3 linked regions of the Alligator mississippiensis genome follow. The protein of the gene in region 3 interacts with the protein of the main gene of each other region in a pairwise test. Links are inferred from orthologs where the notes say so. Each region holds a gene or a part of one and is shown on either strand. Other genes may lie near its edges.

Region 1 (10,310 bases), on a different chromosome or scaffold from region 3:
CAGGGGCAAGGGCATGATCTGCCCAGCCAGGGCGTGAATGTGACCCCACCAGGAGTGGGATGGAGCTGCAGGTGGCTCATCCGAGGGGCACAGGACAGCTCCCGCTGATGCACACACCCCTGAGGGATGCATGTGCGCCCCCCCCCACACTGGAATTGCGTGCGGGGCAAGGGTGAGCTGCCCACTGTGGGCTCAGGGCCAGGGGCTGCGCTGGCCTCTTCCCAACGGAGAGGCTGGGGCTGCACTCGGGGCAGGAGAGGGCAGGGTGAGTAGCAGTGGTACTGGGAGGGGTGGCTACAGCCACCCCAAAATTCCCCATAGCCAGCCCGTAGCCCCCCTCCCAGTGCCACTGCCATCCGCCCCACCCCGCACTTGCTTGGAGTGCAGCCCCAGCCCAGCCCCACCACCAGGAAGAGGCTGGTGCAGCCCCTGACCCCAAGCCCGCAATGGGCAGCTCGCCCTCATGCTGTGCACAAACCAGGGGGGCACATGCCCCCCATGCCTTGCTCAGGGGTGTGCACAGCGGCAGGGAACCACCCCCCACCCCATGCGCCCTCCAGATGAGCTTCCCATGGCTCTGTCCCACTCCCAGTGGAGTTGCACTCACCGCCCTGGCTGCGCAGCACCTGCCCCTGTCCTACTCCCTGCCTCACCATGGGGGCCTCAATCTGCACACCCCCTTTCTCCCCTGATGCCCCTTCGCCCACAGACTTACAGCCAGACACTGATCTCCAAGCTGCTGGGCTGCATTCCCGGCTGTGTGCATGCCACAGCTGCATGCATGCATGCACGCAGCATTTATCCCTGATATTATTGGCCAAAAAAAGCCGATTACCAATTATGTTAATTTTCCTGTTATCTGTGCTGATTCGAAATGCGACTGATATATGGGTGCACCTCTACTTAAAACTGTAATAACCTTCATTTACCCCAGGCAGCAATCCATATTGAAATGGAAGTTCACACTCAAATCACTGCTGAAGAATTAACCACCTGCTGTTCTTTGCATCTCTGTTAAGTCTGAACAAATGCTGTAACTGATCAATGCAACATGTGGGGTATAGCAGCAGATACCTGGCCCCACTGCAATGAGGTTAAGTGCAAGTAGGAGACAGCAGGGAAGGCTACAGAGCAGGAAACTGCTGAGGGGAAAGACAGCTGTGCACAGCTGCATTCTGCCTGATTCCTTGTGCTGCCCTGAATCGAGTCTGACCTTCAACTGGATCTGGTGTGGGAGCCATAGGCTGACAATCCCTGCTCTAGGCTTGAAACTTAGTTTTGAATTTGTATTTACATCTTTTTTGCAATAGGAAGTTATTATCCTGCAGTACCAATTTAATGCAGTGAAGTCTCTTCTTCAGATATCAGCAAAGTCCTCAAATATATATCACCATATTTCAATCCCACACTGTTGAGCAAAGCACTTAAAGTTAAGTCTGTGGTTAAGTACTGCACAGAGCAGGGGGCTAAACTAGCTGACCGCTAAAGCCCTTTTCCGTCTTATTTATCTATGATTTCAGGTGCTTTGCTGAGTCATGGCTTCACATCATGTCAGTCCTTTAAAGTAAATAAATGGTGATGACACTGCTGACTCCTTTAGTTTAAATCAGGGCTCCTGAACTAGCAGCCCACAAGGAGTTAATTTATGGACTCATTCTCTCTCCCCTCCCACAACTTGGTTGCCCATGCCCTTTTCACTCTAGGCGGCAGCAGCAGCAGGGGCTTAGGACTAGTATTCACTGCCTAACCCAGCCTCTGGGAGCAGGGCAGGGCAGCACAAAATGGCACAGCCCATGGTGCCAGGGAAGCCAGCAGCCCCAGGAACATCTGTGCAGCATGATGCCACTAAGGAGCCTGCAAAAAGCTGCAGGTGAGGCTGGGCACCTGCTTCTGTGCATGCAGTGCAGTGGGGTGAATGAGTACCTGTCCGTGTGCTCAGTGCAATGGGATTGGGAAGCACTTACCCACCTGGAAAACAGTACAACAGGGTAAAGAAATCACCTGTCCTCACTCACAGTGCAGTGGGCTGGGGGAGCACCCACCTGTGTGTGCAAGGTGCAGTCTGAGGGGGCCCATGGCCTCTGCTAGTGCAGCCCCCACTGACTCATCCCATGGGGCATACAGTCCCCAGCTGCTTAGAAGTTGGACAGCTCTGATTTAAATAATGTGATGACAACAAATTAATTTACAGCCAAATACAATAACAAGAAGTAAGGCAATTGGTATGAACAAAATGGTGATTCTATGAATTTAGTCACTCAAACTAATGAAGGAATATTGTTCTGTGCTACATAAAATGAACATATGTAATAAAGTGAGAGAAAACATACCTTCTTCTTTGCAAATGCATACTTCTTTCTCACACTGGCATCTAATTCCACTTTCAGCCTAGGTTTGGATGTGAGAGGAACAGATTCTTTCAGATCCAGCTCTGGAAATTTTAATACACAAGACTCCACTTCATCTTCTCCAGCCAGCAGCTCCGAGGAGGAAATCATTGCTACAGCACCAGAGCTAGGCATAAGTTTCCTAAAGAAAAAAGGTGCAAACAACGTTTTAGTATGTACACTAAGTAACATTATTTCAGTTTCACACATACATTTAAAAGAAAAGAAACTCATTGTTAAAAAATATTTCTCTGCAGTCTTTTACTGTCACTGTCTTACAACAGCAAAAGAGTGAGCAAGCTGCAAGTTCTATCCTATTATTAGGACAACATTTTAAGAATATACAACAAATTTCAAGGAAGAAGTAATCAAAGATCTGTCCTAAGATCCCCAGCATCAAATAACTGAGAGCAGAAATATCAGACTAAGTAGTGAACAGGAGACTTGTGCAGTCCCCTCCACACTTTAATTTTGCCAGATGGCTTTAAACCTAAACAATAACTATTTTTTAAAAATCCTGGCCAGTTTACAACTGTGTGATGGATCAGTGGGTCAACTATTGCACAGGGGATTAGAGTTTGATGCTAGAAGGTACAGTTCTTCCTCCCTATAGGCCTCCTGTTCCCTCTGCTCTCATTTGCAGGAAGCTAATTCTGCTGAGTTTGGCTACTGAAGGAAGCATGTCTAACCCCACACCCTTCATCCTGGAAATGCTTTGGTTGAGGAACTATTTACAATTCACAACCTTTTTGCAACCATTTTTTCCTAACAAAACAGCAGCTGCAAGGCATTTATCCCAGTGGTGAAACTATCAATACAAGTCAACCAAACCCACAAGATGCAGCAATGAACTAGGCAGATAGATGTTGCATCTGGAACACTGGCTCTCAAACAGAGGGGCAGCATCCCCCTGGAGGACCATGAGAACATTTCAGAGGGTCTGCCTGGCCCAGTCCCCCTGGGCTGAGGCAAGTCCCAAGGAAGGGGTGGGAGTGGGCTTGCCCCACCATCTCCATCTTCTGGGTGGTGGCTGTGGGCAGGCAAGTGAGGCTCTGTACTGCTGCTGCTCAGTTGAGTGGCCACCAAGTCCCACTCTCTGCATCCAGGTATAGGTGAGGCAAGCCATGGAGGTTTTATAGCATGCTGGGGGAATGGGGTGAAGAAAAACGTTAAGAACTCTTAACCAGGACATGGTTCTGGGTGTGTCTGGTGTTCTCTCTCTCTTATTGTGAAACTTTTTCAGAAGGACCCCCACAGCCTGAACCTCCACCAGGCAGGTAGCAGTTCAGTGGCACAGCAGATTTCCAGAAAATGCAAACTACGTACCAGGTGTTCGCAGCGAGGGCCACGTAAAGCAAACAGGTTAGGAGATGGTTTTAAACAGGCAAGTCTGTTGTCAGCGCAGAAGACAATGGGTACCTCCCTGAGCCGAGTCACTGCAGATACCCCATCTCCACTGAGTGTGTCCCCCCTTGCTATCCTGCAATAGGTCCTCTGGCGTCTCAGGGGCTGCTGTACATTCAAATGAAAGCTGGATAGAAACCAGCTACAGATATCACCCATTTTCAAGAACTTTTTTGCTGGTTGGTTCTTTTTGTAGCCAGGGGCATTTTTATGGTGGGACAATTACTTTACACTTGCAGCTGGTCTAAACTTATTGTGCAACTGACCAGTGAATCGCAGAGCATACAGAGCGTGTAGCCAGGGCCTGGGCCAAAGGCCTGGCCCGAGGCGCAGGGCTGCAGGCCTGTCTCTCATCTGCACCCCTGGCAGCCCTCGGCGCCGCCAACTGCCTCCCGGCCCGAGGCAGCCTCGGCCGCAGCGCAGAACTTGCCCCGCGGAGACGTGGTGGAGGAGGCCGGGCCCGAGCCCGAGCCCGGCCCCGGCCGGCCCTCCGGAGAGACCGAAGCATTGGCTTCGACCAAATGCCGAAGGCCGCGGGGAGGCACCGCCGCGAGTGCCGCGGCCGGGCCGGGCGCACTTTAGTCCACGGAGACATAAGCCTCGAGGGGAGGGGAGGGGAGGGGAGGGGCTGGGCCTCCCAGGAGAAGGTGGCTTTTACTCGGACGCCGACTCAGGCTGCCGGCTCACGGCGACCGCAGCACTTACTAAACTCTTAGTCCGGGCCGAGATATCCCGCGGGTCTCGCGTGCCCACGTCATGTAGCGCCTGAGCCACTTCCGGGCTGGGTAGAGGACGGCGGAAGCTACTGCGGAGCCTCTTCCTCCTCTTCCCCCGCCCTTTGCCCCGGAAGGCGCTTGTGGCCGGCCGGAAGTGGGGAGGGGGAACAGAGCGCGCCAGAAGCGCCCGTTGCCGCTGCGGCCTTCGCTCCGCGCAGATTCTCGCCCGCCCGCTCACGGTCCCCGGTGCCGCCCCGCCGCCCGGCATGTCGCGGAGGAGGCACAGCGACGACAGCGATGGTGAGGGCCCGGGTAGCGGCGCCCAACCGGGCAGCGCGGAGCGGCAGGGTCCCGGGGCCGCCCCGCGCTTCCTGCCCGGGGGGCGGGGAGCCTCCCGGCGCGGCCTGGGCATCTGCCTGCGACCAGCTGTAGGCGCTGGGATCCGCGCGCGGGTGAATGTGTCGGCCGCGTGCTGCTCTCGGTCCCGTGCCGGGAGCGTGGCCGCGTCTCGTTTTACTTTGGGGAAACGAATGCGAACCTTATGTTCCCAAGGGCTTTGTATGGTTTGCTAGGTGTGGGGCAGGGGCCAGGGCCTGTCAGCCATTTGGGGTTCCTTGTCAAGTAGCAGGTGCTAAGTGCATGTCAGGAAAGGAACGTGGGAGGTAACATCTGTGGCAGCAGTTCTGGTTGGCATATCGTTCCTAATGTATCTTATCTGCATCGGCAGTGCTGTGGCTCCTGCGACCCTGTGCAGGATCCTCCGATGTGGAGCTCTGCTGTCTTCCATAACTGCCTCTAACCGTGGTCAAACTCCTCCCGTGTCCTGGGCTGGATCAGCATTCTCTGGGCTGTATCCAGCCCAAGTCATGAGGAAGCAGCAGCTCCAACTCTGACCCAGAGCACATGATGGTGGTGGTGGTAGCTGTTGCTCGGACTTGGGGTACACAGCAGCATCTCTGGCTCCAGTATGGGGCATGGGGCAGGGACCAATGGCCAGAGAGTCAGGGGCATGGCAGGTAGGCATCACATGCAGAGGGTGACTGGGGCTGTGTGAGCCCTTGCTCACCTTACTGTCACCAGTTGCCTCAGTCACCATGTCCTGAGGTCCATGGATTTGGCAGCAGGCCTCCCACTGCCCACTTTCCCCTGGTCATGACCCACAACTTCTGGGGGTCCAACTGCTGGTAGTCCCATAGTCCAGGTAGAATGGCTGTGTAGGGTAGACCTGGCCTGTGGGCCATGTTTGACACCTGGCCTATGATGTTATAGGGAAGCATTCATGCAGTATTACTTAGGATCTGTGGATCTGGCAAATTATTGTTGTATATAAGCCTTGCACATCAGTATACTGTTTAAAAGTGGCTGTCTACGTACGCATTGTCCACCTAGATTTTGATTTTTGACGCTACATTAGATGAACAGAGAAGGCAGAAACAAAGGGTGAAATGTTTCTGTTAGCCTGTGAAGCTGTATTATAGACCAAAAGAGGCTTCCTATCACTCTGAAACTGTGAAATTCCTTTATAAGGAGTGATATGGACTAGCACAGCATGTTGGTACTATTTGCAACAGAATCCAGCCACAAGCACTGCAAAAAACTAGTGTGCTATTTCACATGGATCTTCTCCCTCATAGCAACTAGTAGTCTGCCTGATATCCTGGAGTTCTGTTCCATGTGCAGCTACTGGATAGACTGACTACAAGTGCTAGCCATATGCAGATGACTAACTGCTCTACTTTTACCTTTTTATACAGCCATCTCAGTATTACCAAGGTATCCCAGTGCCTGCACAAAATCAGTTATAGATGGACAGCATCTGTCTAAACATAAACATGACCAAGAGCTAGTGTGCAGCCTTCTTTGGTTAAAGATGACCATAGTAACTGGTCAGTTCAGTCTGTGGTATTGGTGAGGAGTGCAAGAACACAGATCCTTCTGTCACAGACTGTTTCTTGCTGCCTTGGCATCATCTTGTCCTGGCAGACAGTGACCCCAGTCTATTCTACACACTTTTTGTCATTTCCCATCAGGTTTACTGTACACTTGAGGAATAAGCCATCAGCATTTAGGAAATCTGAACAGTAAAAATGCTGCAATATTTCCTCAGTGATGTAGGCTGCAGTAGGGACATCGGATTGGCCCTCTGCTCTTTTTCTTTATAACATAAAATCAAGTTTAGGTCACTTTTCATGTTTTCAAGGTGCTCAGCTGCTTGGAGTCAGTACATCTAAAGTGTTATCTACGGCTCTGGGGAGACTGTTGTTGACAGTTTTGCTGTTCTGGTGTGGTGGAATCTTCTGCCCAAATGGGAAAACATGTTTGTGCAGGGAGTGCATTCTAGTCTGGAATTAACTTCCTCGGGAATAGAGGACTAGCATCAGCCTTACCACCTTCTGCTGCAAAGACAAAGTGCATTCTACCTGGCTTGTCAAATGGACAGAATGACATGTATGCTTTAAGAAATAAAACAAGATGAGCTAACTTTATGTAAAAATCTCCTCCCACCACTACCTCAGGAGAAGACAGAATGGCAACATTGGCTTAAAGCACTGTTAGAGTATGTTCAGATATTAGTGACATGAACAACATAACAGTATGTAGGAAAAAAATAGAATAGGTTCAGCACTTTGGGCATATATAATTAAAAATGAATTAATAGTAGATTCTCTACCCATGCAGAATTTTATTATTTTACTGCTTGGGTTTTTTACCTTTTACTGGCAGAGATGAATTCCAAATCATTGTTTCAACTTTTAAACCCTTTTAATAAGTCTCCGTTTTTTTTTTTAGTTTGCCAGAGTCTCAAGTGTCTAGTCATTTTCCCAAATTAAAAAAGTGTAAATACATTTAAAGGGATCTATGATACAATCCCTTGCTCAAGGTTCATCACATTTTAACACAGGTGTCAGAGAACACAATGGGATGCTTAATGGGGAACATAAAATTAATAAAGTTAATTCTCCAGTCATTTTTTTAGCTTTATAATATGCTGCTATTGGCATTGTGAAATTACTTCCTAATAAGATGTCAAAATTGGGCATTGTATGAAGAGTAAGATTTGTGTAGAAGTACAAATGTTGTCTTTGTTAATTTTAACATTTATTTGGTCTGTCTTGGATAACAGTAGTAATGTCGTGTGTCCTTGGTGTAGTAAAAAATTAGAATGAGAATGGGACTGACGGAACCGTTAAGCAAACTCTTAAAAATTAAGCAAGGAATAATTTTAACATTTATTCTTGATTTTTATTAATATGTTGAAACAGGGCAAACTCATAAAAGGAGGAGAACATCCGAGCCATCTGAAATTGAAGAGAGACTAGAATCTTTAATATGCAGAGTGGGTGAGAAGGTAAGAGTTAGCAGTAAGTTATGGTCCTTAACATGCTTGGGCACAAGATTTCTGGCATCTGTCTTTTTTTTTAATAATGCTGAGTTTGAATTCAATTAAGAGTCCAAAAAAAATATCCAAAAGTAATTGTGAAAAATTACCTACTCAAAATGTTGTCAATTTACTCTGTAGTGGGGGCTTGACCTTCTTTCTTAGTTCTCTTGAGTGCATTTTAACATCCTTGCAGCAGTTAGACACTGACTTGTCTCTCTATTTCACTTGTGGTAGGGTAGGGTGCTTTTGATGTCTTTGGGCAATTTGCCTTGCAGTTGTGTGACAAGGTTGATTTGTGTAGAGTTAGGAATGGGTTAGATAATGGATGGTATGTAATGATCCAGCCTCAAGGAGCTTGGACTAGACCTCTGGAAGTCCCTTTGAACCCTACTTTTCTTTCTACCAAAGTAATGCTTAATGTTTGGAAGCTTAAATTTCTTTCTCCTTTTGCTGAAGTCTTTTCAGGATAGAATTCTTAAATCTAAGTTTCTTATTTCCCTAAATAAATTTATCTTTCATAGTCTGCTACTCATGTAAAAGATTTGTTGGCACTACAATAGGTAGTGTTTGGAATAATAAAGTAAAGCAAGCTAGACTAGAGCATTCATTTTAATTGCTGTAATTCTACCTAACCATGAAATTTCATATTTTGGCCAGTTCTATAAATCTGTTTTAGAATCTTGTTTCAATCAAAGGAGTAAAATTGTAGCTATACAAGTCCTGTCTTTTTTTTTTAGTAGTATTCCCCCTTCGGTATTTTAATGAAGTAGTTACCCGTTTATATTTATAACTGTCTCTCTTCATTGATCTGGTCCTATACCAATGTCTAGGAGTTGTGACTTTTCATAGTTAACTTTAAATCCAGAAACTTCTCTGTGTTGTTTTTCTCCTTTTGTGGTTCAGGTAGTAGGTTAATTGGTTTTGTAATGAACAGAGATCTGGGTGTTCTCTTTGCCGCAGAAAAACCCAGATTTTCTCCTTTAAAGGAGAAAAACGTGGGAAACTGTGGGTTTCCCTTTGATGGCTGAGAGAATTCCAGCCTACAAGGGGCTGCTTGGGGCTGGGGGGAGCAAGACTCAGAGGGTGCCGCATGTAGTACAGACAGTGGTGGAGAGCAGTTCCCCCAGCTGCCTGCAGGTAAGTCTCTTGGGGGAGGTCATAGGTAATGGGAGGGGCAGATTGAGGCCCCCATGGTGAGGGGGGAAATGGGGCAGAGTTGGGGGCTGGGGGTGCTACCCAGCTGGGGTGGTGCGCAGGGCCTGGGGCCAGGGCGGAATGCACAACTGCAGGGCCTGCTGGGGGAGTGGAACAGAGCCACAGCTGGCTCATCTGGTGAAGAGGAAGGCTGGCTTCTCACCTGTGTGTGCACTCCCAGGGACAGGTTGTTGTACCAGAGGCAGTGCGTTGGGGAGGGCACATGGGCTCAGGGGTCCCTGCTCTGCTGCATTCCCCCTGGCTTCCACAGTCCAACAGGCGGGACCCAGTGCAGGAGGTTCAAAGTGGGGTGGGGAGGCTTGGTGCTGCCATTGCCGGGAGCCCTGCTCTGGCCATGCCACCACGATGAGGCGCCCCCCTCCTTGCTGGGGTGGAGGGCAAGGGGCGCAACTCCTCAGTGCCACCACCACCCCTGCTGCTGCTGGGCCTGCAGGGGGCACCTCACCGTGGCAGCATGACTAGCACAGGGCTCATGGCAGTGGCAACATTGAGGCTTCTTGCCCTGCTCTGCCCTCCCATTTTGGGTCCTGCCTGCTGGCCTGTGGAGGTTTCTTGGGGGAGGGCAGCAGGGCATGTAGCCCTGCAGCAGGGAGCCCACATACTCCCCCATTCCCCATGAGCTCCGCTTCAGCTGTGCCACCATCAGAGAGAAGCAGGGGGCCAGTGGGGTCTGTGATTCACACTGGCTGCAGCAAGCTGTTGCTTCCCACACAGCAGCTGGGGCTCAGGTGCTGCTGGCTGGCTGCAGCTGGTGCCCATGCAGCAGAGAGTGAGCAGCATGGTCCTGTAGCCCTAGCAGTGGGGGGCCCTCTCTGGCAGGGCTAGGGGGGCCAGGGGTCTGTGGGTCAGCAGTGAGAGGCACTGGTAGGGCCAGGGGCTGCAGGTTGGGAGTGAGGAGCACAAGCAGGACTGGGGGGACTGTGTTTTGGGAGTAAGGGCTGGATCAGAGCACCAGCGGTACCACAAGACTGTGGGGGGGACAGCTGCAGCTGGACCCGCATCCTGCTTAGTGAAGGGGATAGGGGGAGTTCTGATTTTCCATAATAAAAAAAAAACGAAATCAAATGCCAAAATGTATAGGCATTTAGAATTTATTTCATCATGACGATTGAGGCACTAGTAGGCTTCTAAATTGTTATAAAATTATTAATATATCAATAAAATATTGTGTTCAAGTGATACAAATTTATAGATATATATAGTGGC
Region 2 (10,827 bases), on a different chromosome or scaffold from region 3:
CCTTGTACTTATTCAAGCAAAATAAACACCCAGGCTGACTCTGGGAGCTAACCCCCCCCCCCGTAGTTGCTTAATCAGAGCTGCCTAGTTGACAAGTAAGTGTGTCCCTCCCGATACAAGGGACAAGAGGTTCTGCTGGCCTAAATGCATCTGCTGCTTGTGCAGCTAGGTTGCATGACTGAGGACTCTCCAGTAGTGATGCAGAAAGAACTTACCCGCTTTCTGTTGTTAACTCTGTGGTATTTCACTCCTAGTAATACCACAAAGCTAAAGCAGCATAAACATTTGTCGCTAGAGGGCATATGACATATAGGAGATGGTTCTGCTAGTAAGAAGTGGTTATTTCCTTATTCAGTTTTCAGAGCATTACTCCTCTTTAAATTACTTGACAGTGTCACACTAAAGTATTTCAGGGAAATGCAGGACCCATCTTCAAAAATATTTAAATCAAAGTGTTTTGTCACAAATTTAAAGTCACACTTCATTCTCTAGGACTTCAGAAACTGAAGAGATGCTACATTTCGCTTGTTCTCCTTTTCCCTCCCCCCCCCCGACCATTCCACCACACTTGCCTTGCAATGTTCTTTAAAGATGTCCAATTCTGTATTCATTAGTAATATGCGAGGGGTATAATATAGTCTGAAGGCTGCCAAATTGTAGGCACAGCCCTTGATAGGAACACCAAGGTAGTAAATAGAATACTTCTGGATTTGTTCATGCAACAGTGAGATGGACAGAGGATAATTCTACAAGTGCAAAAAGAAAAGATTTGCCAGCTTGTTTATTTAACCCTACAGAATAAGTTCAAGTGAGCTAATTAGTTGGGCAGAATGAGAGTGAACCAGGTAAATACAAGAGTGTAGTATTAATTCAGCAAAGCTCTTAATATTCCTCCTGCCTTCATATTTTCTGTCCCTTCAAATTACAGGAGATTTAAAAAAAAATAAATAAATAAAATTTTAAAAAAAAGTGTAAAAAAGCATCAAGGTCTATCATTTATTCTAGTGTTTCTTTCAAAAATGACAAAATCTTCAAGGTCTAGACTATTAGTAACAGGTACATTGTTCTGCTGAGTAAGGCCCAATTTCAGTTACAGCTTCTTGGTCCTATGTTAGTACAAATAAAATGCAATGCAACATTCATTCTACATTTTTTTTTTTTTTTTTAAAGTTTGCTGTTGCCCCCTCCTCCCCCCACTCATGTGCAAACAAAAGTATGCAATGGAGAATAGGTATAGATTTCTCTCACCACCTGTATGAATATTCTGTGCCACATTTGCATAACAGCTGACATGCAAGGATGGAAAAAAAAAAAAAAAAAAAAAAAAAAGTATTCAGAGTGAAAGAGGAACACCAGTAAAATAGTCCCACAAGTTAAATGCAAAAAGATACTTAAATATTTTAAGATGCCATTAAACATTTTACTTCCAGGAAGCACAATAGTGTTGCAACATTAGTAGTTTTATACTTCTACAGTATAGTGTTTCCTCCCCCCCACAGTTGTTCAAGATGTATTAGTGAGATCAGATGATCTATTTAAAAACAAAAACCCAACAAAACTCTCTCTGTGCACCTGCTTTTCATGGCAAAGTTGGGAAATGTACTGAATAAATCACATTGTGGCCCTAAAGAATCAGGAAGTATGCAGCACCCACTATTCCAAGGTGGGTCCCAGAAAATTACTAGCCAAACACAAACTTACTTAGCTTCCAAGGTCAGTCCAGTTCTGTGGACTATGGTTATTGACAGTCTGAGTACTGCTTTTAATCTCCTCAGCCTGTTATAGGTTCTATGAATGCTGGACCTGCACATTAATCCAATTATCCTACTGCTAAGGAGCTTGAGCATGAACACTTCTTTCTTGCTTAGCTTTGTTTTGCTTTTAATGTTTCAACATGGAGATCAATTATAAAAACAAAACATGTTAAAATACTTTCTAGGCATAAAAATCATTCTTTTATTGACATTTTAAAATGCATCTTAAAGGTTCTGTTACTATTATTCTCCTGTTCTCACCTAATCTCCTCTTCTTTCTGGTTCCTCAGTTCAGCTGGTACTACCCCTTTTTTGTGCCTGGTGTTCAGTTTCATACAGCACCTACTGGCTGCCAGATCTGACAAAGCTAGAAATGTCATTATAAATAAAAGTACTTGAAGGGGATGGTTGGATTCACTGAGCAGCCAAGAGGGGAGCTATTGGGCTCTGAGCACACCTTTGCTACGGTTGAATCATATGGCTGGAAACTAGTGTTTTAGGAAGTGTGGCTATGTACCTTGGACGAATTTACAAATAAGAATAGCTGGGCCCAGTTAAGATTGATATGGCGCCATCAACCATCATGAATTTTGACCACACGAGTCTGGCCCACAACAACAGGTTTTGTTTTAGAATCAAGAAATTAAGTACAAGTTTTAAATTCTATTTTGGATCCTGAATTTGGGGTCCTTGAATTGTATGTTGTTCATGTGTCTAGGCTCTCTCCACTACAGCAGTAGTAAATGGACTAGTTTTAATGCAGTAACATGACCCCAGAGAGTAGGATTTTAAGAAATGAGACTCAGGAAGACACTGCAAGACAGGAAGGTAATTGTCTTAGCTTAAGTAGACCATGAACAGCTGAGAAAGCAAGAAGGGAAAAAAAAAAAAAAAAAAGCAGCCCATCAGCCGGGGAAGCTTCCAACAGAAAGGGGTGTAGGGATAAGCCTAGAATGCCTACCTGGAGCCTTCAGACAATGAAGCTGTGGAAGAAAACAGGAGGAGACAGGCTAGAGGGTTTATTTTTTTGTTTTACTTTTTTTGTTTAAAAAAAAAAAAAAAAAAAACCATCACTAAAAGAGGGGGGAGTTTGACAGTCTCCCATAGGGGAGGTGGAGACACAATACCCTTGTCATTACAATTACTGGCCAGCAAGGAATTACACAGCGAAAGCTATCACAAAGAGAACACAGAATTAATAAGAGCCCAGATTCGAGTTCACTATTTTAAGGCTCTCTCATGCCAAAGAGAAGTTGGCTGAAGGAATATCTTAGGCTAGGTACAAACATTAAGTTTATCACAGGTTACACATGCAGGAAGTGCTCTACAGCTGTAGCCAAACAGATGGCCACAGCACAGAGTGCCCAGTTGTGTCCCCCCCACCCCCAGCACAGCTGCCACATGACCTGCATGGGCCATGTCAGCACGCCCCCCCCCCCCCCCCCCGATGACTTGGGCCTCAAGGGAGGCAGCCCAGGACAGTATGGTTTGATTACAGCCATGATGGGAACCAATGCCCTGGGGGAAACTGGGGAGCCCCTGGGAGAAAGAAGGGCAGGGGGAATTGCAGCCTATAAGCCATTACTGTGGTCATAGCCCCCTTTCATGGAGGTTTTGGCCAAGGCCAGAAAGGGGCTGGGGTGGGAGGGAGGAGTCATCCCACCCTGACTGTTCACAGTGCAGGGCACCAGGCCTCTAAGTGCTCAAAAGGCTTCTATCCTTCAGCACTCAGAGCAGTAACTCCCACCCCACCATCCTGAAAGGCAGTTGAGGCACCTAGTTCCCTTGGCCACTTATCAGCCCACGTCCCATTGTAGTGAGACACAGCAGGATCTCTGGTGGCCCAGGCATGAATGACTGGTGCCTCCTGAGACCAGGGGGAGGGTACCATAGAGGCAAGAGGGGACCACCTGCAGTCAGTCAGTGGCAGCTAGCAAGGACTGCCCACAACTACCACTGGCCACATCAGCAGCAAGTGGGGGACAGGTGTGGATGGTAACCACCCACAGAAGCCAGCAGCAGCCACAAATCAGGGGGGGGGGGAAAAACATGTGCACCCCTACATGTTGCCTATAGGCCTAGGTGAATGCCCAGGCTCTGGTAATCTCTCAGTTTTCACCTCCGGGTTTAGAGTCTCTCCCTTTTCCTCACCTGCCATTTTTTTGGTACAACTTTTCCCCCCCCCCCTCAAAGAGTTGGGAGGCTGCCTCAAATCCCAAGGAATCACTGGTCTGGCTCTTTGTTCTCATAACAGCTTTGTAAGTTAGCACCTTAGGGCTCTGACTACACTCTAGCTAGGCCCATACCTTGCGCATGTTAACAGTTCATCATCCTGGGAGAAGATCCCTCAACCCCAGGCCAGTATCTCATCTAGTTTCTGGTCTCACCTCCTAGGATTTGGGTCTGCCCCTTCCCAGGTCCAGCTTCCTTTCTAAAGGGTGTAGCACTCACCCCTCAAGGCTCTTCTCTCATCCTTCCTGGGCTCCCTCTTCAAGGGTTCTAGCTTTGCCCTTAGGGCCCTGATAATGCCCCTTTAGGGCCCCAGCTATGTTCTTCAGGGCCTTGGTCTGTGCCCTCATCTTTAGACTGCAGCCTTCCTCACCCATGTTCTGAGCCCAGCCCTCAAGAGGGCTTGTAAATTTCATATACCCCTTTGGCACCTCCACCCCTCCTGCCAGTCCCAATCCCAGTCCTTGGATTATAACAATAGGAAAAAGTCAGGCCTCAGGCCATAAATCAAATCAAGCTCTCTAGCTACATAAGAAAATCCCCCCCCTCTCATAGTCAACTCTCAGTTCCTTACCAGCATGCATGCTACTACAGTGCCTTAGCCATTGTAATACAGATCTCCTTCCCTGGTTGTCTGCAAGATAACCCCCTAGGTCCAAACCCTGAGTTTATATGTAGTTGAGGCTCTGCTCTCCTGGTCTTGTGACCACCCAGCCACCACAGGTGCTTCTCTTTAGGCTAACTGGCTGGTCTTCAGAGGTGCTTTCAGCTGTTGGGATAGAAGCTAATGCTCTACTCTCTGGCGTTACTGTGCTGCAGCTAGTTTTGCACTGGGCAGACCACTGTACTAAGCAGTCTCTGCCCAATTGAACTATTTCAATGCCACTACCTCCACAGTAGGCACTGTCTCAGCCTAAGGTGCTCAGGTAGCTTGTTCTGCTACTCTTAGCAAGAAGCCTGGTCCCCCTGGGGTTCTTTTCACTGCTAGCTCCTTCTCAGTAATAACAGGGAGTCCCTGGCATTCAATGAGAACATAAATCTGCCTTATTGACATCCCCCTCTCCCCCCTATCTTTTAAGGCCAAGCTGATCTCCTGGAAGAAGTGAGTCTCATTGCAGCTATCCAGAGCAGTTGTGTGGAACCACCTCTCTCTCCTCCCAAGCACGGAAGGGAAGGCACTGAAAGCGTTTATTGAGCTCCCAAGGCAAAGTGTAAAAAACAGTTACAACTGCAGGTATATGCTGCCCTGCTCCAGTTGCCATTGCCACAGGCTGAGTTGGCAGAGAGCACCCCAAGGTCAGGGTGCAGTTGTGGTACAGCAGGAATGAAAACAGTTCACCCTAGCAAAAAAAGCTCCTAGTCTTTCCTAACTCCCTCTCTCTCTCCTTCCAGCTGCCTCCTGGAATATTCTCAGTAGAGGAGCAGCGTTGTAAAGCCAGGGGCAGCCCATGGCAGGGCTCTTCTTATGCAGCTGGGGTCTGGGGAAATTCTCTCTGGGTCAGGTCACAGGCTGAGCAGTAAGTCAATAGCAGCAGCAATAGCAAAGTCTTCCAGAGGGGGTGTCAGCTCTATCCAATGTTGAATGGCAACCCAGAGTTCCCCAGTGTGCCATCACAGCAGATGACCCCTCTCCAGCTGTTGAGATACTCCCAGGGGACCATGTTGCAGGAGCACAGTGTATTGCCTGGAGTTCCCCCAGGAGAACCAGAAAAGCTAATCCCTCAGGGCCTGGCTGACTCTCACCAGGGGAATATTGGGAGTGTAGACCCAGTTCATCAGGGATGCGGGGCTGAAATGTCTCCCCAGATAGGGAAGCATGGCAGTGACGTACCGATACGGGGGGGAGGGTCCCCAGGTGCAGGGCTGTGGGGGGTGCCGACAGGCCACGAAACTGGAAGGGGTGGCAGTGGCGCAGGAAGCACTTCCAGTTTCTGATTTCACACCCCTGCCTCCGATTGGCCGCTGTAGGGGGTGCCTCCCCTGAGATTGGCCACCACCGCTGCTGCTCCCCTGCCGCAGGCATGGCCTTAGGTTCCTACAGTGGTGGGCACGCTGAGCTACCGTGCACACTCGCCGCCAGGATCACAGCTGGCCCAACACAGGCATTGGGCTTGGAGGAGGGCAGATTGAGACCCCCAAAGTGCAGGAGAGAGTCACGTAGGGGAAGGGCGAATCATTCACCACTACCCCTGGCCTGCTCCCTCCTTACTGTGGGGATTGTTCCACGACCCAGCCCAGCCCCCATTCACTGTGACTGGGGCCCCGGCCTAGCCCATTCGTGGTTCAATCAGAGCCCAGAGGCTCCTCCAGAGGTGCGGCACTGGGCAGCCAAGGGGTGGGGGAGGGCACATGGCCCCCTGATCTTTGCATGGGTGAGGGTAGGCCACAGCTGCGAGCTGGGCTCAGCCTCTGCTCCATGTCTCCGTGCCTTGCTGCCACCGCTTCAAATGTGGTGGGTGCCGCTCCATCCCCTCCAGCCCGGCAGGCAGCTGAGGCTGGCCCTGCTTCGGGACCTGGCTCTGGGCACCCCCCGCAGCCAGTGCGCAGCCAGGGCTGGTGCATCCGGGTCAGGTGCCGGGGTTGGGAGACAGCCGAAGCTAGCACGGCTAGTGCTGGTGCAATGGCCTGGGCCAGTGTGGTCAGGATGCTGCCAGGGCTGGGGCCGGTGCGGCCAGTGCCAGGAGGCAGCCATGGTTAGTGTGGCATCTGGGGCTGGCGTGGCCAGGGCTGGGAGGAAGCTGGGACCAGGGCTGGGGCTGGGAGCTGGCCGGGGCGGTGCAGTGCTGGGCAATGCTGCTTCCCTTCTTGGCCCTTTCCCCTCCCCCTTCAGACTTTTCCATGGGGGGGCGTGTGCGCGCGCATGCACTTGTGCAGACTCACCCCCTTCAAATTTTGTTTTCTTCCTCTGCCTATGCCCCTGCATCTGGCTGCTTGCTGCCACTGCCTTCACATCTGGCTGTACGCCACTCCCGCCTGCCGCTGCCACTACCACCACTGCTGGCTTCTTCGGGGCAGGGGGCCCCAAGACTATTTCTTGCAGGGGGCCCCAAAAATGGTGGGCTGGTCCTGATGCCAGCCATGGAGTCTGGGGGGAACTCTTCTGTTGTCCGTGGCTCCACTCTTGGCCTAAGTCCTGTTGTAGGGGATCAGTGCAGCGTTGGTGGAGATAGGCAGTCCCAGGGGTCAGGTCGGCTGCAATACAGGAGCCTCAAGTGTACTCAGGGGCCATCTGGACTCCTCAAAGGGAGAGACTGGGTCCTGGGGCCAGGGAGCCCATGTTGAAGAGCTAAAAGTCCACTGTGGTGAAGCCACCCATCACAAAGCCCCCACCCCCCAAGCAACAGCTGCTTCCTGACTTGCAACTCTCTCAGACAGACAGTGGGTCTGGGATCACACACCTGTCCAGCTGCAACATTGGAAAAGTCCTTGGTCTTCACTTCTGAACCTTGAAAGCAGGATGCTAGGTCAAAAGCCACCATACCCCATGCTTCCACTCCAAGGTTTTGTGTTTGAGTTCAGCCCCTGTGGTATTCCCCCTGACATCTCCCGCCCACCCCGTCCTAACTGCCCCTTCCAGCCAGGTTCTCCTGCCCACTGCCCCCTCCGAAGGTTTGCTGGTTTGTATGAATTGGGAAAAGGGAATGAGTTCTGCCATGGGCAACATTCAGCAGGTTTTCTTTATTAAACACATGAAAAATTTGGTGGCAAGTTTCTTCCTGGTGCCACATTCCCCCGTACCCTGGTGTGTGCCTAATGTGGGGAGGGAAAATTGGGGAGGAGGAGGGGAAATGAAACAGTGTCCAGGTACCATTGTGGCCAACACTGCCCAGGATGCAGGGCTGAGGAGCCTAGGGCAAGAGACCCATGCCATGGTGCCAGGGCACAGGCACTGGCCCTACTTATGTGGGAAGGGCTCCTGGTCCACAAGGGTGAGGAAGTAGTCAGCCAAAGCTTTGCAGATCTGGACAGCCTGCTACTGTGCAGAGCCGGGGCCCACAACATCAGCAGGGGGCTTGCCATCTCCTCCATCCCTGTGCTGCGTGTACCTACACTGCCAGATCCACTCCACACGCTGTGCCTCCTCAGCTCAGGCCTCACAGAAAACCTCCCCCTGGTCTTGCAGATGTTGTGAAGGACACTAGTGGCAATGATGAGTTGCATCAGGTTTCCCTAGTCCACCTCAAGGCACATGCTGAAAGTCCACTGGCATACCTTGAGGTGGCTGAAGGTGCTCTCCATCATCATGCAGCACCTGCTCAGGCAATAGTTGAAGCGCTTCTTCCAGCAGTCCAGTTGCCCCCCATAGAGCTTTGTCAGTCAGGGCTGGAGGGGGTAGGCAGGGTCCCTGATGAGAAGCAGTGGGACAATTATGTTAACGATGATGAGTCCAGGGGCCCCAGGAGTGTAGTGCCTGCTTTGTATCAGTCCAAGGTGCGGGGAGTGGCAAAGGACCTGGAAATTGTGGGTGCTGCCTGCCCAGCTGGTGAAGATGTGAGTGAAATGGCCTCAGTGGTCAATGACACCTTGCCGGACAATGGAGAAGTAGCCCTTGTGGTTGGTGAACGTCTGGGTGGCCTGACCCAAGCACAAGATGGAGATGTGGTTGCTGCCCATGGTCTCCAAGCAGTTGGGAAAGCCCATGCAGTGGAAGCCAGTGACCACCTCTAGTGGAATGATGAGGCAGATGAAACAGTTGGCCAAGTTGTCCTGGATGACCTGGCACACCTCCCAGATGTCCTCTCCAGCTGTGGTCCTGACCATACTGAACTGGCTGACAGGAAGCAGTAACTGATGGGGGTAGCCAGCTTCATGAAGGCAATGGCCACCAGCTTCTCGAAAGTGAGGGGTGGCTGCATACCAATGTCCTAGCGCGTGATGTGTGGGGACCAGCTGGGCGATGACATTCATGAAAGTAGGCCAGTGCATGAGGAAGGTCTGGAGCCACTGTTCCTTGCCTTAGGCAGGGCTGTCCCTGGGGGGTGGCAAATCAGGGCAACCGCCCCAGGCCCCACGCTTTGGGGGGCCCTGTTGAGCCAGGCGGAGCAGTGCGGCGACTCCGCTCTGCCTCCGGCTTCATGTCTGGCCACTCAGCACCCCCCCAGTCCTTCTCCCCACGGTTGAATCTGCCACCGGCTTCCTCATGTCTGGGTGCAGGGCCCCGCACAGGCTGATTTGCTCCGGGCCCTGCACCCTGCTTGGATCGTCTCTGGCCCTAGGTGCCCAGAATGATCCACTCCCACCAGTCACTGCTGGTGGCGCAGGCCCAGAACCAGTGCTCGATTGTCTGGAGGTGGTGCCAGAGCACCCCAGCATCTATGGCATTCTGGAGTGCCTCATCTTCATTGGTTGCATGAAAGTCAGTGGCCCTGGCCACGATGCTTGTGGTGCAGGGTGCGGTGGGTGAGCATGAGCGGCATGGCCAACTGGTGGCTGGTGAGTATGAGGGCATGTGCCATGACAAGCTGCTGCAACATCAGGTTGAGGTGGGTGTGCATGATGTCTTGCAGCCTCATAGAATCATAGAATCATACAAGTAGGGTCGGAAGGGACCTTGTAGATCTTCAAGTCCAACCCCCTGCCTGGGAAGGAGAGAAACTGGGCTCAAGTGACCCCAGCCATGTAGGCATCAAGCCGCTTCTTAAAGACCCCCAGAGTAGGAGCCAGCACCACTTCCCTTGGAAGTTGGTTCCAGATCCTAGCCGCCCTAACTGTGAAGTAGTTCTTACGGATGTCTAATCTGAACCTACTTTCCAACAACTTGTGGCCGTTATTTCTTGTTATCCCGGGGGGAGCTGGGGGAAACAAGGTCTCCCCCAAACGCTTCTGGTCCCCCCTAGTGAGTTTATAGATGGTCACAAGGTCCCCCCTCAGCCTTCTCTGGTGAAGGCTGAACAGGTTCTGGTCCCGTAGCCTCTCAGTGTAGGGTCTGTCCTGCTGTCCCCGGATCATGCAGGTGGCCCTCCTCTGGACCCTCTCAATGTTGTCCACATCCCTCTTGAAGTGGGGCACCCAGAACTGGACACAGTATTCCAGCTGTGGCCTGACCAGTGCCACGTAGAGGGGGAGGATCACCTCCTTGGCCCTACTTGAGATGCACCTGTGGATGCATGATAGGGTCCGGTTAGCCCTGCCGACCGTGACCTCGCATTGTTGGCCCACGTTCATCTTGGAGTCAATGATGACTCCAAGATCCCTTTCTGCCTCCGTGCTCTCAAGAAGGGAGTTTCCCATCTTATAAGCGTGTTGCCAGTTACTACTGCCCAAGTGCGGCACCCTGCACTTGTCCGTATTGAAACGCATCCTGTTTTTGTCAGCCCACCCTTGCAACCTATTCAGGTCTTTCTGCAGTCTTTCCCTCCCTACTAGCGTGCCCACCTCACCCCAGATTTTGGTATCATCAGCGCATTTGAACAGGTTGCTTTTCACCCCATCGTCCAAATCACTGATAAAGAAATTGAACAGCGCGGGCCCAAGGACCGAGCCCTGGGGGACTCCACTGCCCACTTCCCCCCAGGTCGAATATGACCCGTCCACCACCACCCTCTGAGTACGACCCTTCAGCCAATTAGCAATCCATCTGACCGTGTAGGCATCGATGCCACAGTCACCTAGTTTTTTAACAAGGATGGGGTGAGAGACAGTGTCAAAGGCCTTGTTGAAGTCCAGAAAGACTACATCCATGGCGACACCTGCATCCACTGCTTTTGTGACCTGATCGTAAAAGGCAATCAGGTTGGTCTGACATGACCTGCCCCTAATAAAACCGTGCTGGTTGCCCCTCAGCATCACCCCTGATGCCGGCCCATCACAGATGTGCTCCTTGATGATCTTCTCAAAGAGTTTC
Region 3 (10,203 bases):
AAGGTATGGGGGCATCAGGGCTCAAGGGAGCCCAGCAAATCCCACACCTGCTGGTGTAGCTGTGTCAGGGGGGTGTGGGGGGGTTCTAGGCTCATCGTATGCCAGGGGCAGGGGGTGAGCGTTGGGCTGCGGGGAGGGGCTGGAGCAGGGTCCCTTCTCCATACCCTCCTCCCCGCGGAGCCGGTCCAGCTGCCCCTTCTCGATGAGAGCTTCTGACTCCTTGACGAAGGCGATCATCCCGCCAAAAGGGGGTGACAGGATCTCCTCGATGAACTCCTGCGGGGGGGGCGCAGGGTGCCGAGACACTGAACTGAGGAGGCCCACAGAGAGGACAGACAGCCCGGTTGCCCCAGCCCCACAATGCCCCCAGGGAGGGGCAGGCTACAGGGTGACTCACCTGAGTCCGGGCTGAGAGTAGCTGCTGAAAGCCCTCTACCTCCTTGCTTTCCTCCACTGCCCGCTCCTGCAAAGAGAACAGGGATCCACTGCGACCTGAGACCCCTAGGGCACCGGCTGGGGGTGGGAGGGACAGGCAGGGGAACAGCCCTGATGCACTGTATAGACAAGGGGTCTATTTGGATGGGGAGCAGGGGGTTGGGGGTCACTCCCACGAGAGCATGTGGGGGGTGTTACCATAAGGACACTCAGCATCATGTCATAGTTGTTGATGAGGAAGATAAGCTGCTCCTTGCGTGACGAGAACTCTGCCGCCACCCGCAGCACGAAGTTCTCCACCTCCACCTGGGTAGGGAACAGGTGCATGGGCATCAGCGGGACAGGACCCGCCTCCCCCAGATACCAGAGTCCCCTCCACTGGCATGCCCAGCCTGTCTGCAGAGGAGGGACCTGCCACCAGCTCCCCTGCCCGCTGCAAGGCTCTGCTCAGTGCTGTACTTGCCACCCCTCCCTGCCCGCCCCATACCTGCAGCTGCCCCAGCAGGGCGTGGGTCCGCTCATTGGGGAAGGTCTGGTTGATGCTGACGATGGCAGAGGAGAACTCTGCGTAGCGCCGCGTGATCTAGAGGGGCAACAGGGTCAGAGTACTGCAGGGTTCCCTGCACCCTCCAAACACCCCTGGCAAAGCCTCAAGACCCTCACACCTACACAGCGGGAGTGCACCCAATACACCACAGGCAAAGCCTCCCTCTTCCACCCCACAGGCTGCACGGACCCCAGCCCCTACCCCGAGGCCCTTACATAGAGGGGGCGTGTGTCAAGGAAGCCCAGCTTCTGGGGGTCCATGTTCTGGATGCTCTGGATGTTCAGCTCCAGGATGTACTCAAAGCGCGGCCACAGGATCTCCAGCAGCGTGTCCCAGTACCTACCGGCGGGGGAGGTGGTCAGACACCAGATGCCAGCTCAGCTCAGGGATGAGGGTGGGGTCCCAGTCAGTTAAAGCAAAGCAGCGGGGGGTTGGGACCCAGGACTACTGGGGTCCATCTTCATTTGGAAATAGGAACAGTGTCTAGTGGTTTAGAGCAAGGGAAACCAAGACTCCTCAAGTCAGGATTTGACATGGCCTGTTCACTCTGATCCCTACTGATGGCGCTCCTGGTGCGGCAGAGGCGCTGTGCAAGAGAGAGCTTTCTGCTGCTCATACATGCTGGCACCTTCCAGTGCCAGGTGTCTGTGCCCTGATGCAGCTGGGAGAAGGGGGTGGAATAAGGGCTGGGAGCAGCGGGCTCGCAATGTGGGACATGTCCCCAGGTACTTACTTGTCAACAGCCGGGATGTTGCGCTTGGCCATGATGGCCTTGAAGCGCAGGACGATGTGGATGCACAGGAAGACAGCGATGCTGTCATAGCAGTCGCACACGTAGGCATCCATGTGTTTCTGGGGAAGGCAGCAGGTGAGGATGCGGCCCCCCTGCACCGTGCCCCCTGCCCCAGTAACAGACCCCAGCCACAGCTCCAGCCTGTTGCAACACCCCCCCCCCCACACACACACCAGGAACATGGCAAGGGTCTTGCCCATGACAGTGTTGAAGAGGTCTTGGGCGCTGGGCCCCGTCACCATGAAGAAGTCGCAGAGGAAGAGGTACTCGCGGCAGCTGTTGTCCAGCAGAGCGTAGTGCTGGCTGCGGAACAGCGACTCGAAGGGGTACTGCAATGTGGGGGAAGCAGGGGAAGTGAACCCTGAACCCTCCCTGCCAAGGGTCTGGGGGACCCCCTGGTGGTGACCCCTGCCCTCCCCCACCCCTGCTCACACGGACATCACTCTTCTGGGCCGTGTGTGGCACGATGATGGGCCCCTCCAGCTCGGCCGCCCCGATGACACTGCCCCGATTGCCCAGTGTGAAGATGGTGTTGCGATTCTTCAGCGATGGCTTGGAGAAGAAGCGTGGGACTCACGAGTCAAGGGGAACACCAGGGAGATGCTGCTCCTCCCCCCACCCGACACCTCCCTGCCTCCTGCCCCGTGCCCTGGGGCAGCAGGATATCCTTTTTCGCCGTGTCCTCCACGCCCATCAGGTCATCTTTGTCAGCCACCTCTTCATACTGCAGCACAGATGAACAGTCAGCACCAGGACCCCAGCCCCATCCCGCATCCCACAGGACAGACAGGCAGCCAGGGAGGTTCACCACCACAGGGCTGCACCGTTGCCCCTTGCTTGTAATATGGGGGAGTCTGGCCCAGTCATCCCACTGAGTTCCCACCATACCCCCCAGCCATGTTCCTGCTTGGGCTGGGGGCCCTGCACTCCCCAGCAGCATCGTGTCCCAACCTGGATCTTCATGAGGCGGCTGGTGTAGGACTTGAAGTAGGACAGATAGATCTTGCTCATGGTCTCCACGTACTGCTCCCGCAACTCCTGTGCCACCGCCCGCTCGTTCCCTAGCAAGAACTGGTAGAAGAACCTGGAGGACATGAGGCGAGGGGTGGTGTCTGTGAGTCTCCAGGAGCCTGCCCAGCTGCTGCCCCAAGCTGAGGAGGATGCTGGAAGGTCCCCCTACCCCCAGCTCACCTGTACTTGAGCAGAGCATTCTGGGGAATCTGGTAGTTGGTCATGGGCTTGCGGAAGGAGTAGATCTTCTGCAGGATGAACTCCCGGATCTTGGTCACTGCCTGCTCAGGGAAGCAGAGAGATGTCATGGGAGTCATTGGGCACCATGAGGCTGCTGGAGCCCCCTGCATAAGCAGGGAGGAGAGGAAAGTCCACATCTCCTCCAGGCAAAAATGAACAAGAAAAGGATGGGGAAGACCCCTGACCCATGACCTTCAGGGAATGGTTCCCCCTGGCCTTTAAGCCTAGGTCACATGGGAGAGGGCGGATGGACCCTCACCTTGACCTTGAGCTTCTCCAACACGTGCTGCACATCGGCACAGGCCATTGTCTCACGGAAGGCCTGCTCCTTCACGTAGTTAATCTTGTTGTTGAGCTCGTGCAGCTGCTCTAGGAACTCCTGCTCCGTTACCGGCGCCTCCAGGATGGTACTGGAGGTGGGATAGAGTCATGAAAGGGCAGCCCAGAAGACACTTCCCTCCCCCAGCCCCTGGATTGCCCCAGGCCCCCACACCTGATCATGTTGGCGGGCACAACAAGCTCATCGACCAGCTGGCTGAGCTGGCTGCGCACAGCCTGGCGGTTCTTGAGGCGCAGGTTCATGGCCACTGACTGCTCCTGCAATGTCTGGATCTCCGAGCTGATGCTACTCAGGTCGCACTGGAAGGTGCTCAGCATTTGCTCCATGCGCTGGGCCAGGGCGTCGGAAGAGCAAGTGTCAGAGAGGCCAGACCCTTGTGACCCACCCATCCACACTGGGGCAGAAACCATCTCCCCGCAGCAGACACACACACACACCCCGGATGTCCTGCCAGTCTCCAACCCCAGCACAAAACAACCAGGAGCAAAGGGAAGGTAAGCTGTTCTCACTTCCCTGCCCATCCCACCCCTGCAGCCACCCCCTCTAATGTTCAATTTGTGAGAGGAAAAAGAGAAAGGGGGTGTTTCACCCCTGTAGAAGCAGTGCTGCCAGTGCCTATGAAGCTGTCAGGAGTGGGTGCAGTAGGCCCCTTTCCGGGTGGGGTTGCAGAGAGTGATGGGAACTGAAGGGGGTCTGCTGGATGGAGGGCTGTATGTGTATGTGGGGGGGGGTGTGTCTCACCTCCAAGATGGTGTCACAGGCAGTGATCTGGTTGTGCAGGGAGGCAATGTTCTTGCTCTCTTTGATGTCTGTGGGATGACCAGGGTCGTTCAGGAAACCAACAAGGAAGTTGGGGGGGGGACTGGAAAGCCAGCCCCAAGATACAGGGAGGGGGGCGGGGTACCAGAGACATAGCGGAGCACACCCCTCCCTCCAGGTGGAGCCCCCTGTCTGCAGTGCTGGGGATTGGGCAGGGGCACAGAAGACCCCATCCCAAACTCCCCCGGGCGGGGGTAACTGAATCCTCCCCCCTCCCCGCTTCACGCTAGGCTCAGCAGAGGGTGGTTGAGGGCATCTGTGCGCCTCCTCCAAGGATACAGTCCCGGATGGAGGCATGCTCATTCTGCTGCAGTTCCAGCTCCACCTGCTTGGAGTACTGCCGGAGGTCCACGCCCTGCGCAGGGGAGGGGGTCACACAGGCCGGGGGGGCTGGCCGCAACCAGGGAACAGCAAGGGAGGAGGTGGCAGCTTACCGTCTTCAGCGCCTCCTGCACCAGGGCGTCCTCAAGGTTGGCTTGGATGTGAACTGGGGGTGAGGAGCGGGAGTCAGCGCTGGCCCCACCCCACCCCCCTCGCTCCCAGCGCCCCCCCGCGCCCCCACGCACTGTCCACTTCGTCCAGGATGAACTCGTCCGAGGTGAGGTCCAGGTCCCCCAGGTTCAGCGGCTGCTCCTCTCCGCGCCCCGGGGGCTGCACAGGGGGGAAGGGGGGGTACAGCTCAGCCTGGGCCGGGGCTGGGGCGCAGGGCGAGGGGCAGGCAGCCCGAGGCCTCACCGTGCCCTCCTCCTCCTCCGTGTCGCCCGCCCGCAGCCCCAGCTCCTCCGCTGGCCGCAGCGCCGCCATCGCTGCTCCGCCCCGCCCCGCGCCGGCCACGGGAGCACTTCCGGCCTGGTTCTCCACCGAACTACATCTCCCAGACAGCACCGGGGAGCTGACCGGAAGTGCACTATTCAAGCCCTTTCCGAGCTGGAGTGCGGCCGGCGGCCGGAATCCGGCACCCGGGGGAAAGGAGCCCTAACGACGGTTTACAGCCTCCGGATCCCTGTGGGGTCAGGTTTCCCACCCGGATGCCTTTTACTGCTACCCCCGCAGGAAGTCACTTCCGGATATTCACACCCAGCCGGAAGGGGAACAGCCCCGACCGGAAGCCGCGGAGCCCCTTGGGGGGGTGAATACCGGGCACTGCGTCACTTCCCCTTTCTTTTCCGGACGGGGCTGGAGCGGAGCGGAGCGGGCACCATGGTACGGCCGGGCGGGGGCGCGCGGCGCATCGGGGCCCATCCGTGCTGGGGCGCGGGGCACTGCGGCTGCGGGGCGGCCCTTGGGGGGGACGGGGCTGGGGCTTCGCGCCCCGCGTCCCATTTTTCGGCGGGGCCCCCGGGGAGGGCGCAGGGGGCCGGGGTGGTGGAGAGCCGGGGGGCAGAAGGCCGCAAGATCGCCCTTGACCTGCTCCTGCCCCGCGCAGTCGCTCGTGATCCCCGAGAAGTTCCAGCACATTCTCCGCGTGCTCAACACCAACATCGACGGGCGGCGCAAGATCGCCTTCGCCATCACCGCCATCAAGGTGCGGGTCACCCGGCGGGGGGGCTGCGGGTCCGTCCCTGGGGTAGGGGCTCGTCCTGCAGGATCCTGGCAGGGCTGGGGCAGACCCCCTCTCCAGAGCTGAGGCCTGTATTTACGCTCTCCACTCGCCTGCAGGGCGTGGGCCGGCGCTATGCCCATGTGGTGCTCAGGAAAGCAGACATTGACCTGACCAAGAGGGCCGGGGAGCTGACGGAGGATGAGGTGAGGAGGCCGGGGTGAGGGTGCGGTGCAGGGTGCTGTGGGGTTTGGCTGCAGGGAGTGGTGCTGGGGAGGTCTGCTGTGGGGGGTGGGGAGCCCCGGCTGACCTTAGCTTACAGAAACCCCCTTTCCCCGCTTGCAGGTGGAGCGCGTTATCACTATCATGCAGAACCCCCGGCAGTACAAGATCCCCGACTGGTTCCTCAACAGGCAGAAGGACATCAAGGATGGCAAATACAGCCAGGTGAGTGGCGGGGCTCCTTCCAGGCCTGCCATCCCCCAGGGCTCGTGACCGGGGGCTGAGCCTGGCAGGGGAAGGGACCGTTACACTCAGGATGGCTCGTGGGGCTTTTATTTTATCTGGAGAAGAACAACAGAAGCCATAGCTAGCTCCTCTGATTAACAGTTGTTTGATAGGGATGTTATCAATGTGGCTAAGAGCAGTTACACGTGTCAGACAACATGTAGACACTTGCTGCAGGGGGAGATAAGGTCTCGGGCTTCCACGATCCCCTCCTAACGGCTGGGGGCAAGTTCCAGACTCTCACTCCTGTGGCTTGGCATGGGGGAGTTGGATACGGTTCAGGTCTGTGGTCTTGCTCATTGCTGTCGGAGATTGAGCTTTTGACTGAAGGAGCAGGGAAACTGAGTTATGGCCTGCCACTCGTTCTTTCCTGGGGTCGCCTTATCCGCACAGGGTGTGACCCTGGTCTCCACATCTCTGCTCTCGAAACTGTCGCTTAACAGCTGCCTTCTTTTGCGTGCTAACGGCTGAGATTCATACTGAACTGCTTCTGGGCCCTAAGGATCTGTGCGGAGGGATGTAGCGACCTACCCAGCACCGCAAAATGGGGTGGGAGGGGGGCAAGGTTCAGGACTCTCCAACAAGGGGAGAGCACCAAGGGTCTGAGGTATCCCAGACACAGGTGAGCTCCCACGTGGTTGTGGTTCTGGGAGCTGTGGGGCCTGTCCTTGGTGCTCCCCTGCCAGCAGCCCACATGTGTGTAGTTCAGCTTCTCCCACATGGTGGGGCCTGGGCTGGCTGACCTCAGCCCCAGCTAGGCTGCATCTCTGACCTGCTGCCTCTTTGCCACAGGTGCTGGCCAACGGGCTTGACAACAAGCTGCGTGAGGACCTGGAGCGGCTGAAGAAGATCCGGGCGCATCGTGGTCTGCGTCACTTCTGGGGGTAAGTGGGGCTGGGGGATGGGGCGTGGCGCTGCCCACAGAGGCAGGGTGGAGGGCAGAGCGGGTGATATCTCAGCTCTGACCGTTATCTCTTTCCTTCCACTGCAGGCTACGTGTGCGAGGCCAGCACACAAAGACGACAGGCCGCCGCGGCCGCACTGTGGGTGTCTCAAAGAAGAAGTAACCTGTTCCCTGTGTATGTAATAAAGTGCTGTTCTCAGACCTGCCTCCCTTCTCTCTCTGGAGGGATGAGTCTGGGGCAGGGCTGGTGGGAGAAGCAGGACGTGGGGCTGCTGTTCTCTTCTATCCTGGGCAGGGAAGTGTGTGAGACAAATGATAGCAGCTACCTGACAACCCAAAGAGTTGATCTTTGTCCCTGTCTCCTGGGCTCTGAGGGGTTCACGGGCAGGAGGTGCTTATGTGAGGTTGAGGTGGGGCAGGGGTGTGTGCAGGGACTCGGTGTGCAAGAAGGGGAAGGTTACACTGACACTTGTCAATGGATACGGGGTGGCTGTATGGCCCAGGCAGGTGAGTATTTTCCGGGACTAGGAGGCGGGCAAGGTCTCACTTTACAATGTGACTGACGGGTCCCATTTTTTCATTTTCACCGACACACTTCTGGGATCTTGCATGAAGACACCAATGTGGCTCCCCTGATCCTGCACCTGGTCCCAGCCCTGAGGGAATCCCTGTCACAGCCCGTCCCTCAGGGTAGAGGGTGGGCAGGGACTGGGGCAGGGCTACGGTCTCCCTGTTGCAGGAGCTGTTTCAACCTGGCCTCTACTGCTGCCCTGCGCCCCACACCAAGATCATTTCTGAATCCCTACGCTCGTAGCATTGCCCACTAGAAGGACCATCTCCAAATTCTCATCCTTCATTTACGGATCCCTGCAGCCCCCATGGGTTTATCACTTATTTTGTGTGCCCCTCTCAATGTTGCCCCCTGCCCCCTCTTCCTCTGTTCCGTCTTTTGTATTGAAATCACTCTGCATTTGATCTTCTGGTCCATTCTAGTCCTTTCATAGTAGTGATGAAGTGAGCATCTCTGCTTCAGTTAGGTGCCCAGATGCTGCAAAACGCGGCCCTACTATACCTTTCTGAAACAATGGCTTGTGTGTTGGGGATGGGCTCAAGGCCCCCTTCTAACCTGGTTCCCAGGGGCTCTAGCCCCAAATACTTCTATGCTCTCTGGCCTTTCAAGGCTCATCCAAAGGCTGTAGGAGTTGACAGCAGCTGGATCAGTGGGATCTGCACCAGAACTAGGGTTTCTGCAGGACACTGTCCCCAACAAACCTCTCCAAGCTCCTGCTCAGAGTCAGGAGTTGGATAGTCCTGTCTGGTGCGTGGTGGCAGCCCCAGGCCTTGCACCAAGAGTCCTCTACAGCCAGGAGCTGTCATCAGGTCTGTTCTGGGGAAACAGGCACAAGGGTGAGTGGGGAGCAAAGTGACTCAGCTGAGGTCCCAGCAGGGCCTGGTGCCTGGGCCCCCTAGTCTGTGCTCTGCTTTAGTTCAGACCAACCATGGTAATGGAGGGACCCCAGGAGCCCTGGACTGCAACAGATTTGGGACCAAAAATATGTCGACTCCTGAGTGTAGCGAGTGCCTGGAGTGGTTCCCACCTGACCTGACCCAGCACCAGTGCCCTCAGCAGGTACCTGCTGCTCCTGCTTCTCGAGTCCCTGTTGGGGGAACCCAGTTACCTTAAGCCATGTGGATGCACCGCCCCATCCTGTCTGGCCTCCAGTCTGTGGGTGCCAGTCAAGAAATGGCTGCACCTCTGCTGGGGCTGCCTGTGGGGCACACTTTGGGGGTGTCCTGGGGCTGGGACGGGTCTCACAGGTTGTCTTCTCCAAGCCCTGCACAGATGCAGGCTGGGCAGTTCCTAAGCTGTTCCAGCCAGACACCCTTGAGGCCTCCTCTTGCAACCCCCAAGGAAGGAAACATGACTTCCCTGGCAGCTCGTCCCACCTTCTATGGACTGAGAGCAGGGCGATTCTCCTGATGTTTAGTTTGACTCTGACTTGCTGCCATCTACCCAGCAGCTCCCTGTCCTGGCCTCTGCATCAGGGTGAACTGGAGCTCTCCCTCTTCTTTAGGGCAGCCTCTCCAGGAGTTGAGGCTTGCTGCCAGCACATTCACACACGCCCCCCAGCCCATATCCCTTAGTCTCCTTTTCCCAACTACGCCCACCTCCTGCTCCTTTCCGGCCCCTTCCACATCTTTGTCGCTCACCTCTGGATCCTCCCAACATCTCCCCAACCTTCCTGCACTGCAGTGCACAGAGCTGTGCTCCAGCTGGGCCTGACCAGCGCTGGCTGACCTCTCCTGGCCGTGGGGGTGGGTGGGGGGAATGACAGGCATACCTTGATAATACTGTCACACAGGTCCCCCTTATTTTTCCCAGCTGTCGGGATCTTAGCTCACTACATCCATCCCATGGCTCTCCCTACATTGCTCTCGAGTCCCCGTGTTCCTTTCTGTTCAGCTGCTCCCCGCTTCTCCCAATTGTTGCATTCACGCTGAGCTCCTGCCTGCTGTTGCTCCAGCCCTGTCTAGGCTGCTGTGACCATGTAAAGGGGCCTTGCAATGAGTGAATCCTCTGTCTGTGTCAGGGGCTATTCCAGCTAGTGTGTGGCCCTGCATTAGCCCTGCTCCTTGCACCTCCCTTCACCACTGTAGGGAGTGTGCCAGGGGCATGGCAAGACCACTGTGCTGGAAGCAAGCTCTGCTTCCCAAGGGGCTCTGAAGATGGTCTACTTTATGCAGTGAGCTATGGAGAGCCATGCACCTCCTTAAAATCCAGGAAAACCCAAGGGGACTTAAAAATAGCTCCAGCCAACCCAGTGTCCTCAAAGCAGGAGGCAGGGAAGGGGAATCAGGCCACTGCATTGTTACCACCGATCATATCCATCTCTCTGCAGAGGGCTCTGGCTTCAGACTCTGCCCCATGGACTGGTTGCTATGTGGGGACAAGTGCTACTGGGTAAGTCTCTGCAAAACCAAAACACTAGAGCTGTGAGGATTGCACAGCCAGGAGCTACTGGGTGCTGCTGATCCAGGACAGGGAGAAGCTGGTGAAGGGAATGGC

What was found. The genes of interacting proteins can lie anywhere in the genome.
Region 1: the proteins of VPS52 (region 3) and TSTD2 interact in binary tests that used the Homo sapiens proteins (3 or more experiments, as listed by UniProt). The two-hybrid records come from large-scale screens. The link is inferred for Alligator mississippiensis from reciprocal best matches to the Homo sapiens genes VPS52 and TSTD2.
Region 2: the proteins of VPS52 (region 3) and WTAP interact in binary tests that used the Homo sapiens proteins (3 or more experiments, as listed by UniProt). The two-hybrid records come from large-scale screens. The link is inferred for Alligator mississippiensis from reciprocal best matches to the Homo sapiens genes VPS52 and WTAP.

What each region holds. Positions count from the first base shown.
Region 1 is NC_081826.1:152,925,904-152,936,213, reverse strand, and holds the start of TSTD2 (thiosulfate sulfurtransferase/rhodanese-like domain-containing protein 2), read right to left. Parts: upstream 4,607-10,310; 5' UTR 4,497-4,606; intron 4,448-4,496; exon of another isoform or gene 3,714-4,447; intron 2,530-3,713; 5' UTR 2,523-2,529; coding exon 2,331-2,522; intron 1-2,330. Other genes in the region: NCBP1 (nuclear cap-binding protein subunit 1), read left to right, coding at 4,774-4,807, 7,771-7,856.
Region 2 is NC_081824.1:137,732,128-137,742,954, forward strand, and holds the start of WTAP (pre-mRNA-splicing regulator WTAP), read right to left. Parts: upstream 4,607-10,827; 5' UTR 4,568-4,606; coding exon 4,558-4,567; intron 1-4,557. UniProt on the Homo sapiens protein: Associated component of the WMM complex, a complex that mediates N6-methyladenosine (m6A) methylation of RNAs, a modification that plays a role in the efficiency of mRNA splicing and RNA processing.
Region 3 is NC_081834.1:64,782,366-64,792,568, forward strand, and holds the start of VPS52 (vacuolar protein sorting-associated protein 52 homolog), read right to left. Parts: upstream 5,174-10,203; 5' UTR 4,990-5,173; coding exon 4,921-4,989; intron 4,837-4,920; coding exon 4,752-4,836; intron 4,673-4,751; coding exon 4,620-4,672; intron 4,541-4,619; coding exon 4,465-4,540; intron 4,176-4,464; coding exon 4,108-4,175; intron 3,696-4,107; coding exon 3,520-3,695; intron 3,437-3,519; coding exon 3,286-3,436; intron 3,068-3,285; coding exon 2,967-3,067; intron 2,860-2,966; coding exon 2,727-2,859; intron 2,500-2,726; coding exon 2,442-2,499; intron 2,342-2,441; coding exon 2,208-2,341; intron 2,105-2,207; coding exon 1,949-2,104; intron 1,835-1,948; coding exon 1,716-1,834; intron 1,322-1,715; coding exon 1,198-1,321; intron 1,019-1,197; coding exon 923-1,018; intron 742-922; coding exon 634-741; intron 464-633; coding exon 398-463; intron 277-397; coding exon 165-276; intron 1-164. Other genes in the region: RPS18 (small ribosomal subunit protein uS13), read left to right, coding at 5,386-5,388, 5,612-5,710, 5,845-5,931, 6,071-6,172, 7,025-7,116, 7,224-7,299. UniProt on the Homo sapiens protein: Acts as a component of the GARP complex that is involved in retrograde transport from early and late endosomes to the trans-Golgi network (TGN).